2 linked regions of the Mus musculus genome follow. Each later gene encodes a partner of the first gene's protein in a complex. Links are inferred from orthologs where the notes say so. Each region holds a gene or a part of one and is shown on either strand. Other genes may lie near its edges. The genes, in order: Sympk and Ssu72.

Region 1 (3,809 bases):
TAGCAGGGGTGTTGCTATTTAGTTTATAGGTTAATCCCATTTAAAATGAGTTACCTCCACCAGAGGTGGCAGCACATGCCTTTATTCCAAGCACTCGGCAGATGAATCTCTGTTCAAGGCTAGCCTTGTCTACAGAACAAATTCTAGAACAGGGTTACACAAAGAAGCCTTGTCTCGAAAAAACAAAAGAGCAAAAACAAAACAAAAAAGATAACAAAACCTTAGTTACCAGCAATATTGTCTTCTAGATTTTCAGTTGCCCCATTTATATTTAGGAGTAATCTAAGCTGGCTTTTTAAATTTAAGTTTTATGTTTATTTTGCATATATGGACTATTGCTTCTATTTATGTCTCTGCACCAAGTGTATGTGGAGGCCAGGGTCTCACATCCCCTAGGACTAGAGTTAGAGTTTTGAGCTGTCCTGTGGGTGCTGGGGATCAACAAACTCAGGTTCTCTGGAGGAGCAGCCAGTGGCTTTCACCAGCTGAGCTGACTCTCCAGCCTCAGTTCTATCTTTTAAAACACCTAGTTTAGCCTTTTTCTCTTCTTCACACTGTATCCAGCTCAGTGTAATCCTCCTGCCTCAGCCTTTCTTCATATAATAGATTCATTCATTTTCTCTCTCTAACTCTCTCTCTCTCTCTCTCTCTCTCTCTCTCTCTCTCTCTCTCTCTCTCTCATGCTCCTCGCAGAACCCCTGCATTGTCACTATAGACGTTTTCCATGTTCCTTTCTCTCCTCTCTGGAAACAGGGTCTTAGCTGCCCAGCTGGCTTAGACCTCACAATCTCCTGCCTCCCAAGTATGTTAAGACTACAGGTATGTGCACCTGTCTGGGTCTCAATTCCGTCTTACAGCTGTGCCATCTGTAGGCTTGTTTGTTTATCCCAGTGTCAGGCCTGGGCCCCTCAGGGCCTTGCACATGCTGTACAAAGCTCACAAAGAGTCCTTTAGCATGTAGCATGTGAGAGTCTTTGTAGCCTGTCTCCCTATTTAAGAACACTTAGTTGGATTATGCTGCTTGCTGGTAAAAGTAATGCCAGATGTGGTGCCTTGTCTATGAGTCATTTCATGATTTTGTCAGAATGATTTTGTGATAATTGTGTAGTTCCTCTTTCTCCCTTTTCACAGAAGGAATAGCTTAAGGATGCTGTATTGTAATGAGTCTCTCCTTCCTTCCTTCCTTCCTTCCTTCCTTCCTTCCTTCCTTCCTTCCTTTTTGAGACAGTATTATGTAGCACTGTCTAGTTTTGAACTCACTGTATAACTGAGGCTGGCCTTGAACTCCTGATGTTTCTACCTACCTGCATCTTGAAAATGTTGAGATGAAAGACATGTAGCACCACACCTGGTTATAGAGGTGGCCTTTTTTTTTGAGATGGGGGGGGAGGGGGGAGTCTTGACTATGCAGCCCTAGCTGGCCTGCAACCATGTGTGGCTGTGCACACCTTTCATTCCAGCTCTTGGAAGGCACAGAAGGACTAGGAGTTAATGGCCACCTTTGGCTACCTAGTCAGAGACCAACCCAACCCTGAATTAAAGGAAAAAACCCCATAGTAGACATGAAGCACTGTATCTCCTGTACATGGACATAAACCCCATACCCACCCTAGAGGAGGGACGAGGGCTTTGCAGGGAAACTCACTAGCTTCTTTTCCAGGGAGAACCTGACAGCAGTCATGGCAAGCAGCAGCGGGGACAGTGTCACCCGCCGGAGTGTGGCATCACAGTTTTTCACACAAGAAGAAGGGCCAAGCATCGATGGCATGACCACTTCTGAGAGGGTGAGTGTAGCACAGGGCTGGGAGTGGGGAAGTGTGACTCCTGCCAGACAGCAGAGCACAGGAGGACTGCAGGGATTGACCTGGCCAGCAAGACCAGCCATGACACCTGGTTCTTCTGTCCTTCCAGGTGGTAGATCTTCTGAACCAGGCTGCATTGATCACCAATGACTCCAAGATCACAGTGCTCAAACAGGTGAGGTGGGGGTAAGGGACAGGGAGGGCAGGACAAAAGCCAGGGCAGAGCCACTGAGGGAGGACCGTTAGTCCCTGCACGTGTGACTCATACATGCCTGTACACATACACTTGCACACCTGTGCTGCATTCATACATGCCTGTGCTCACATACACCTGTGCCATACATCATGCCTTGCACATGCACACCTGTACACAACCTGTGCCCCAGAGTGCAGTGCAGTGCAGTGCTGTGCAGCCTGCTCCTTCAGTGTTTCTCAAGATCCAGGACTGGGTAGAGCGCGAAGGCGCCACCTGGAGTTTCTGCATGGCACAGCAGACCTCAGACCTGTAGACCACTCTGACCTCTGGCAGACCTGTGCCTGTCATTGTTTCCTTTCCTCTTTGCAATGAGCACAGTGTGCCTCCCCGTGGCTTGTGAGAGCCTTCATCTGTGAGGGTCTCAACAGTGTAGCTTTGAGATTCAGGGTCAGGAGGGTCAGAGCCGCCAGTGCTGACTGCTCCCCATTCCTGCCTGCATAGACTACATCTGGATTTATTTCTATTTGAGGTTTGTTGTTTATTCTCTCTTTTTTATGTTTTGCCTACATGTGTGTAAGTGCACCATGTGCATACAACCCTGACAAAGGCCAGACAAGGGCATTGGATTCCCCTGGAACTGGAGTTATAGATGGTTGTAGCTGGGTGCTGGGAACCAAATCTACTCCTCTGGAAGAGCATCCAGTCTCTTAACTGTTGAGCTGTCTCCCCACTCCTGCATTTAAATTAACCAATTATTTTCGCTGTCTGGTGTGTATTCTTGTTCACATGGTATAGGTGCTTGGTTGCTTGGTATGAGATGTTTATGCAGTCTTGTAGAGGCCCAAAGCTGATGTGTTTTTCCGTCACTCTCTGGTCTCTCAGTAGAATCCAGCGCTTGCTGATCCATTAGTCTAGCTAGCCGGGTTCCTGGGAGTCTGTCTTTGCCTCCAAAGAGCTGCGGCTGCGGTAGTGCTCTGAGAGCTGAGCTCTGTCCTCATGCATGTGGAGGTAGTGTTTTACCCCGAGCCAGCTGTGGGCCTTATTCTTGTTTTCACTATTTCCTGTATATCTGGACAGGCACATTGAGCTCAGAGGACAACTTTACACCAAGTGGCTCCCAGAGATGCTATTCAGTTCTTCAAGTGGGAGTGGCAAGTGTCTTTTACCCTCTGAGCCATCTTGCTAGCCCTTATTTTTAGTGTTTTAGATAAAGTCCATAGTCTAGACGGCCTTGAGAACATGACAGTCCTGCCTCAGCCTGCCTTGTACTGGAATTATGAGAACCACCACGCCTGCCTTTGGGGCCTGGGTTTATGTCTGCTCCTCCTTTCTTCAACTCAGGTCCAAGAGCTGATCATCAACAAGGACCCCACCCTGCTTGACAACTTCCTGGATGTGAGTGACCAGCCTGGGGATAAGGTGAAGGGAAGGTGGTACTCTCCCGTGTGCCCTGACCCATCTTCCTCTGACATTACAGGAGATCATCGCTTTCCAAGCAGACAAATCCATTGAAGTGCGCAAGTTTGTCATTGGCTTCATTGAGGAGGCATGGTATGGGGCATCATTAGGGGTGCCTAGTTGTCATGGCTTGTGTCCTCCAGATTTCCCCAGCATACACCCAATGGAATTGCAGCCCTGAATGCGCCTCAGCCAATACTTCATAGGTGATTTGTTTGTTAGAAGGGACCAGTCTTCCTTCAGAATACAGACAGCAGCTCACGTTTCTCAGCCGCTGACTCCAAGGCTTCTCTCCACCGGGCTGACATGACATGGGTACTGGGAATTGAACTCAGAGTGTCTTCCAGAGCAGT
Region 2 (4,419 bases), on another chromosome or scaffold:
ATCACTGAACAAATGGTAGGCATATTTCACATTCTTACAGTTTTTAAGGGTGTTTTCCAGAGTACTGCATATTTATACATTTCCCGTTGCCTCTCAGTCTCAAGAAAGAATCTTTCTTTTTTTTAAACCCCAAAACAGAAAAATAGTAAGTATACTTCAAGAAGGCAATAGGCAGTGGTGGAGCACACCTCTGATCCCAGCGCTTGGAGGCAGAGGCAGATGGATCTTTGAGTTTAAGGTCAGCCTGGACTACTCATTAACCTCACATTTGTTCATTAAACATGAATTAGTATATTTAAATTCAACATGTAAATATGAAAGAGGAAAAAAGAGCAGAGAACTGTGTATTACATTTACAACCCTACCATGGGAAGCTGAGGCAGTAAAGCCAAAACACAAGTTCAACGGGAGCCTGAGCTACAGTGTGAGATGAGCCCAAAAAGGGTGTGGGGTGGGGGAAGGATGCTGGAAGATGGGTCAGTATTGAGGCAGAGCTTGCCACAGGAACCTAAGTTTGAGTCCCAAGACTCAGGAGAGAACCTGTCTAAAAGTAGGTAGATTGAATTACTGAGGATAACACAAACCAAAGTTCTATCTCCAGGTACAAATGTAAAAATACCTAAAACTATTAAGTCCACAGTATCTCAACAAGAGCAGGGTATAGAGTGTTTTTTAGACCTGTAGGTGTATGTGTGTATTGATAACTCACAAAGGCAGGGCATGGCATCATATCCTAGTGATCCTCTCACTGAGGCAAGATGAATTTTAGTTCAAGGATACAATCTGAAGTAGGATATCGACCCCACTTTTTTTTTTTTTTGAGATGGTGTCTTACAGTCCAGGCTAGCTTTATACATTGTAGCGCCTACTGCTTAATTTCAAAGCACATCACCATCTATAAAACAAACAAAACTAAGTAAAGGCTATGCCCTATGTCAATAACCGCTTTAAGGCTCAAACCACCTTTTCACAGGGGTCACCTAAAACCATCAAAAAACATACTTATATTTACACTACAATTCATAAAAGCAGAACTGCATTATAAAGTAGCAACAAAAATAATTTTATTGTTGGGGGGGGTCACTGCAAAATGAGGACTATATTAAATGGTCGCAGCATTAGGAAGGTTGAGAACTACTGGTCTATGTACTAAGCATTACAAAGAATGAAACTTTAGAATTTGAGATAATAGGCAACTAACACTCTGGGTGACTAAGAAAACACAAGACAGTGCTTGGTATGGTGGCAAACTCCTATTAGTAATAACAACACAAGGGAGGCAGGTGAAAAGTGAGTTCAAAACCAGCAGCACACCTCTAATTGCAGTAGCTGCGAGACAGAGGCAGGCAATTCTCTGAGTCTGAGACCGACCAGGTATACAGAGTGAGTTCCAGGACAGCCAGAACTACACAGAGACCCTGTTTTGAGGGTTAAAAAAAAAACAAAAAAAACCCGAAATTGCCAAAAAATAATATTTAAAAAAGTTTTAAAAGTTCACAAACAGTTAACTCTGGGGGAAAAAAGACATTTCTACTGCACTAAGTTGAAATGTACAAACCCCCATTTTAACTGTAATACAATGCATCAGTTTCTCATTTTGTCAAGAGATTTTTTTTTTTAAGATAAAATACTATCAAAGATGAATGCCCTACTAGAAACTGGTGAATTCGTGAAGAAATATGAGGAGGTCCCACTGAACCAAATGAATTCGTGTGCTCCAGAAATTACTGACTAAAGTTATGGGGCTGAGAGGGGTGGTGGCTGGTGCATGAGACTTGCAAACGAAGACAGCAATAAACAGTCCCTGACGTTAACACCTCAGATCACTGTTGTTGCTTCCAGACTCGTTCCATCTTGATGTGACGTGTGGAGAGCTTTCCAAGGTGGCCGGACGACACATATACGGGAAAGATAAACACCAGGCACCCTTCGCAGCACGGAAAGACCTTGGCCTACCCCGTGATACTGCCCGGTCGTCCAGCACCCAGAGGGCCCCAGCTGTCGTGTGGCCACCTCTAGGGTTTACGGGGATGCCTACACTACCGAGGGTGTCGCGCGCACGGACCCCACTGAGGGCTCGCTGAGCGTGGAAGCCGGGCGTGGCCCGACCTCCGCGGCCCAGTCAGTACAGGGTCGGGGTCTGGACAAGAATCTGTGGGAAAGAGGAGGGAGGGGCGGAGGGCAGGTGGAGCTTGCACTACCTGAGGATGTTGTGTGCTTCCATGCTCCGATTCTGGTTACTCGAGCACACCACCGCCACCCGCAGCGGCGATGACGGCATGGCACCGACCGAACTACCCACTGCTCTCGCTACGGAGCTCCCACCTAGAAGCCGGCTTCCGCGCGAGGAAGATGGCGGTAACCGGAAATCTGCGACACGGAAGTGAACGCAACGCAACGCAACGCAACGCGTGGGGAGGCCGACGGTGCTCTCCTGGGCTCGTACTGCAGCCGGCGCGGGAGGGCGACCGGCCGACGCCGAATCAGCCTGAGAGCAGCCGAGGCCGGCGGTCGTGGACCACCTTCGCCGGCGCGTGACGTCACAGGACCTGCGCCGGCAACTGGAGCGGTGTGAGCCGCGCCTGCGTCCTAATGTACCGTCGCCTCGGATGACGCGCTAGGCGCGGCGCTTGCGCAATACTGAAAACTTCAGTGGGACGGGCGTTGGGGCGGGTCCGGGGAGTCTCAAGTCCTTTCCGCGGCTTCTCTTGGTGTGGTTGGGACGTTTTTCATTCCGGTTTCCTCCAGGTGGTCACTCTGCCAATTTCATAGATGCACTGGGCTCCAGCACTTGGTTTGTGCCCTATCTCTATCACGAGTACCTTCCTCAGAGTCACTGGACTTCTAGAAGCACGTCACTTCCTCTGTGAGCCCGTTGCAGCTTAACATGTAAACGATATGAAAAATATGGGTGAGGTAGCGGGCTCTTCAAGTTCGGCCAATCGGAAAACTGGCAGGAAAAATCGCTTCTCTGTTGGAAGCCAGTTTAGGTTGCCTATTGAGAGCTCGATCTCAAGTGAGAGGGGGAGAGAGAAATAGAGTTGCTGCTGGGCGTGGTGCCTCACACTTTTCTTTAATCCTAGAACTCGGTAATCAGGTCGACTTACAGCCGGCCTACCTGCCTGGTGACCTGTCCCCTCTAGCTCGAATGGAATGGTCAAGAAGTGAAGGGGATTAGATAAGTTGTTTGGAGATTCTGAGAACTCCTTTAAAGTTGGAGCAGTATGAGATTGTCAGGGACAAGAAGGTAGATAATGTGTAGTAAGTATAACAAAAGCTGTGTTTTGCCGGGCGGTGGTGGCGCACGCCTTTAATCCCAGCACTTGGGAGGCAGAGACAGGCAAATTTCTGAGTTCGAGGACAGCCTGGTCTACAGAGTGAGTTCCAGGACAGCCAGGGCTACACAGAGAAACCCTGTCTCAAAAAAAAAGCCGTAGATTCAGTAATCTACCCTTTATTCCTATTATTCCTGTATCTTCCTCTTTTCTTTTTCATCCCTTCTCCCTCCTTTATAAAAGTATATTTTATTCGCTTATAGTAATTGTCTCAAAGACTACCTCTACCTGTTTGCCTAGGCCTAGAATCTTCTAGCCTCCATGCAACCTTTTTTTCTTTTAAAGTTTATTTATATATATGAGTACACTATGGCTGTCTTCAGTCACACCAGAAGACGGCATGGGATTCCATTACAGATGATCGTGAGTCACCATTTGGTTGCTGGGAATTAAACTCAGGACCTTTGGGAAAGCAGTCCGTGCTCTTAACTACTGAGCCATCTCTCCAGTCCTATTTTGAAACTAAATTTCCCACTATGAACCTCCTCATTGCTATTGAAGTCTGCCATCATTGTTCCTTGTGTTAATGAGGAGGAGAGTATTGAGAACCTGTTGCGAGTAAGCCCACAGAGACCATCACGTGGACACTCTGAAAGCCAAAAGGAAAGTCTTTATTTTTGCCTGCTAGCTGCACAGAGAACTTGCCCAAATCATGTAACCTTGAGCCTTGCAGCTCTTTGACTTTATGTACAAAGACCATCTTGATTGGCATGCTTCAGTTAGCGAGAAGCAGAACTGTGGAAGTCAAAAAGCAAGATTAGAACATTGAGGAAGTTTTTACTTGGGGACTTATGGACTATGTTTCTATTTAGTCAGGTGTTGAGGCCTATGTGCTGGGCTTTTTCTTTGTTTGGTTTGTTTTGAAGATTTATTTTGTGTGAGAACACTAGCTGTTGAGGCCTATGTGCTGGGTGGTTTTGTTTCTTTAAAGATTTATTTATTTTATGTGAGTACACTGTTGCTCTCTTCACACACACCAGAAGAGGGCATCAGATCCCATTAAAGATGGTTGTGAAATATGGTTGTTGGGAATTGAACTCAGGAGCTCTGGAAGAACAGTCAGTGCTATTTATTTATTTCATGT

What was found.
Region 2: the proteins of Sympk (region 1) and Ssu72 are in contact, whole or in part, in a crystal structure (PDB 4H3K), measured with the Homo sapiens proteins. The link is inferred for Mus musculus from reciprocal best matches to the Homo sapiens genes SYMPK and SSU72. Residues at the interface, in NP_004810.2 of Homo sapiens: Val123, Lys127, Leu131, Gln135, Asp175, Asn176, Asp177, Gly178, Thr181, His182, Lys185, Glu188, Pro204, Arg205, Arg206, Gln207, Ser250, Ile251, Thr254, Thr255, Asn262, Ala290, Ser292, Gln293, Ser295, Ser296, Lys299, Asn300, Leu303, His304; in NP_054907.1 of Homo sapiens: Glu113, Tyr116, Asp117, Val120, Asn124, Glu127, Gln128, Glu129, Thr130, Cys131, Gln132, Pro133, His135, Asp167, Glu169, Asn170, Asp173, Gln177, Glu180, Thr186, Phe187, Leu188, His189, Thr190, Val191, Phe193.

Annotation. Positions count from the first base shown.
Region 1 is NC_000073.6:19,027,204-19,031,012, forward strand, and holds part of Sympk (symplekin), read left to right. Parts: intron 1-693; exon of another isoform or gene 694-819; intron 820-1,660; 5' UTR 1,661-1,679; coding exon 1,680-1,784; intron 1,785-1,911; coding exon 1,912-1,977; intron 1,978-3,339; coding exon 3,340-3,393; intron 3,394-3,475; coding exon 3,476-3,549; intron 3,550-3,809. UniProt on the Homo sapiens protein: Scaffold protein that functions as a component of a multimolecular complex involved in histone mRNA 3'-end processing. Specific component of the tight junction (TJ) plaque, but might not be an exclusively junctional component. May have a house-keeping rule.
Region 2 is NC_000070.6:155,703,244-155,707,662, reverse strand, and holds the start of Ssu72 (RNA polymerase II subunit A C-terminal domain phosphatase SSU72), read right to left. Parts: upstream 2,849-4,419; 5' UTR 2,282-2,848; coding exon 2,202-2,281; intron 1-2,201. UniProt on the Homo sapiens protein: Protein phosphatase that catalyzes the dephosphorylation of the C-terminal domain of RNA polymerase II. Plays a role in RNA processing and termination. Plays a role in pre-mRNA polyadenylation via its interaction with SYMPK.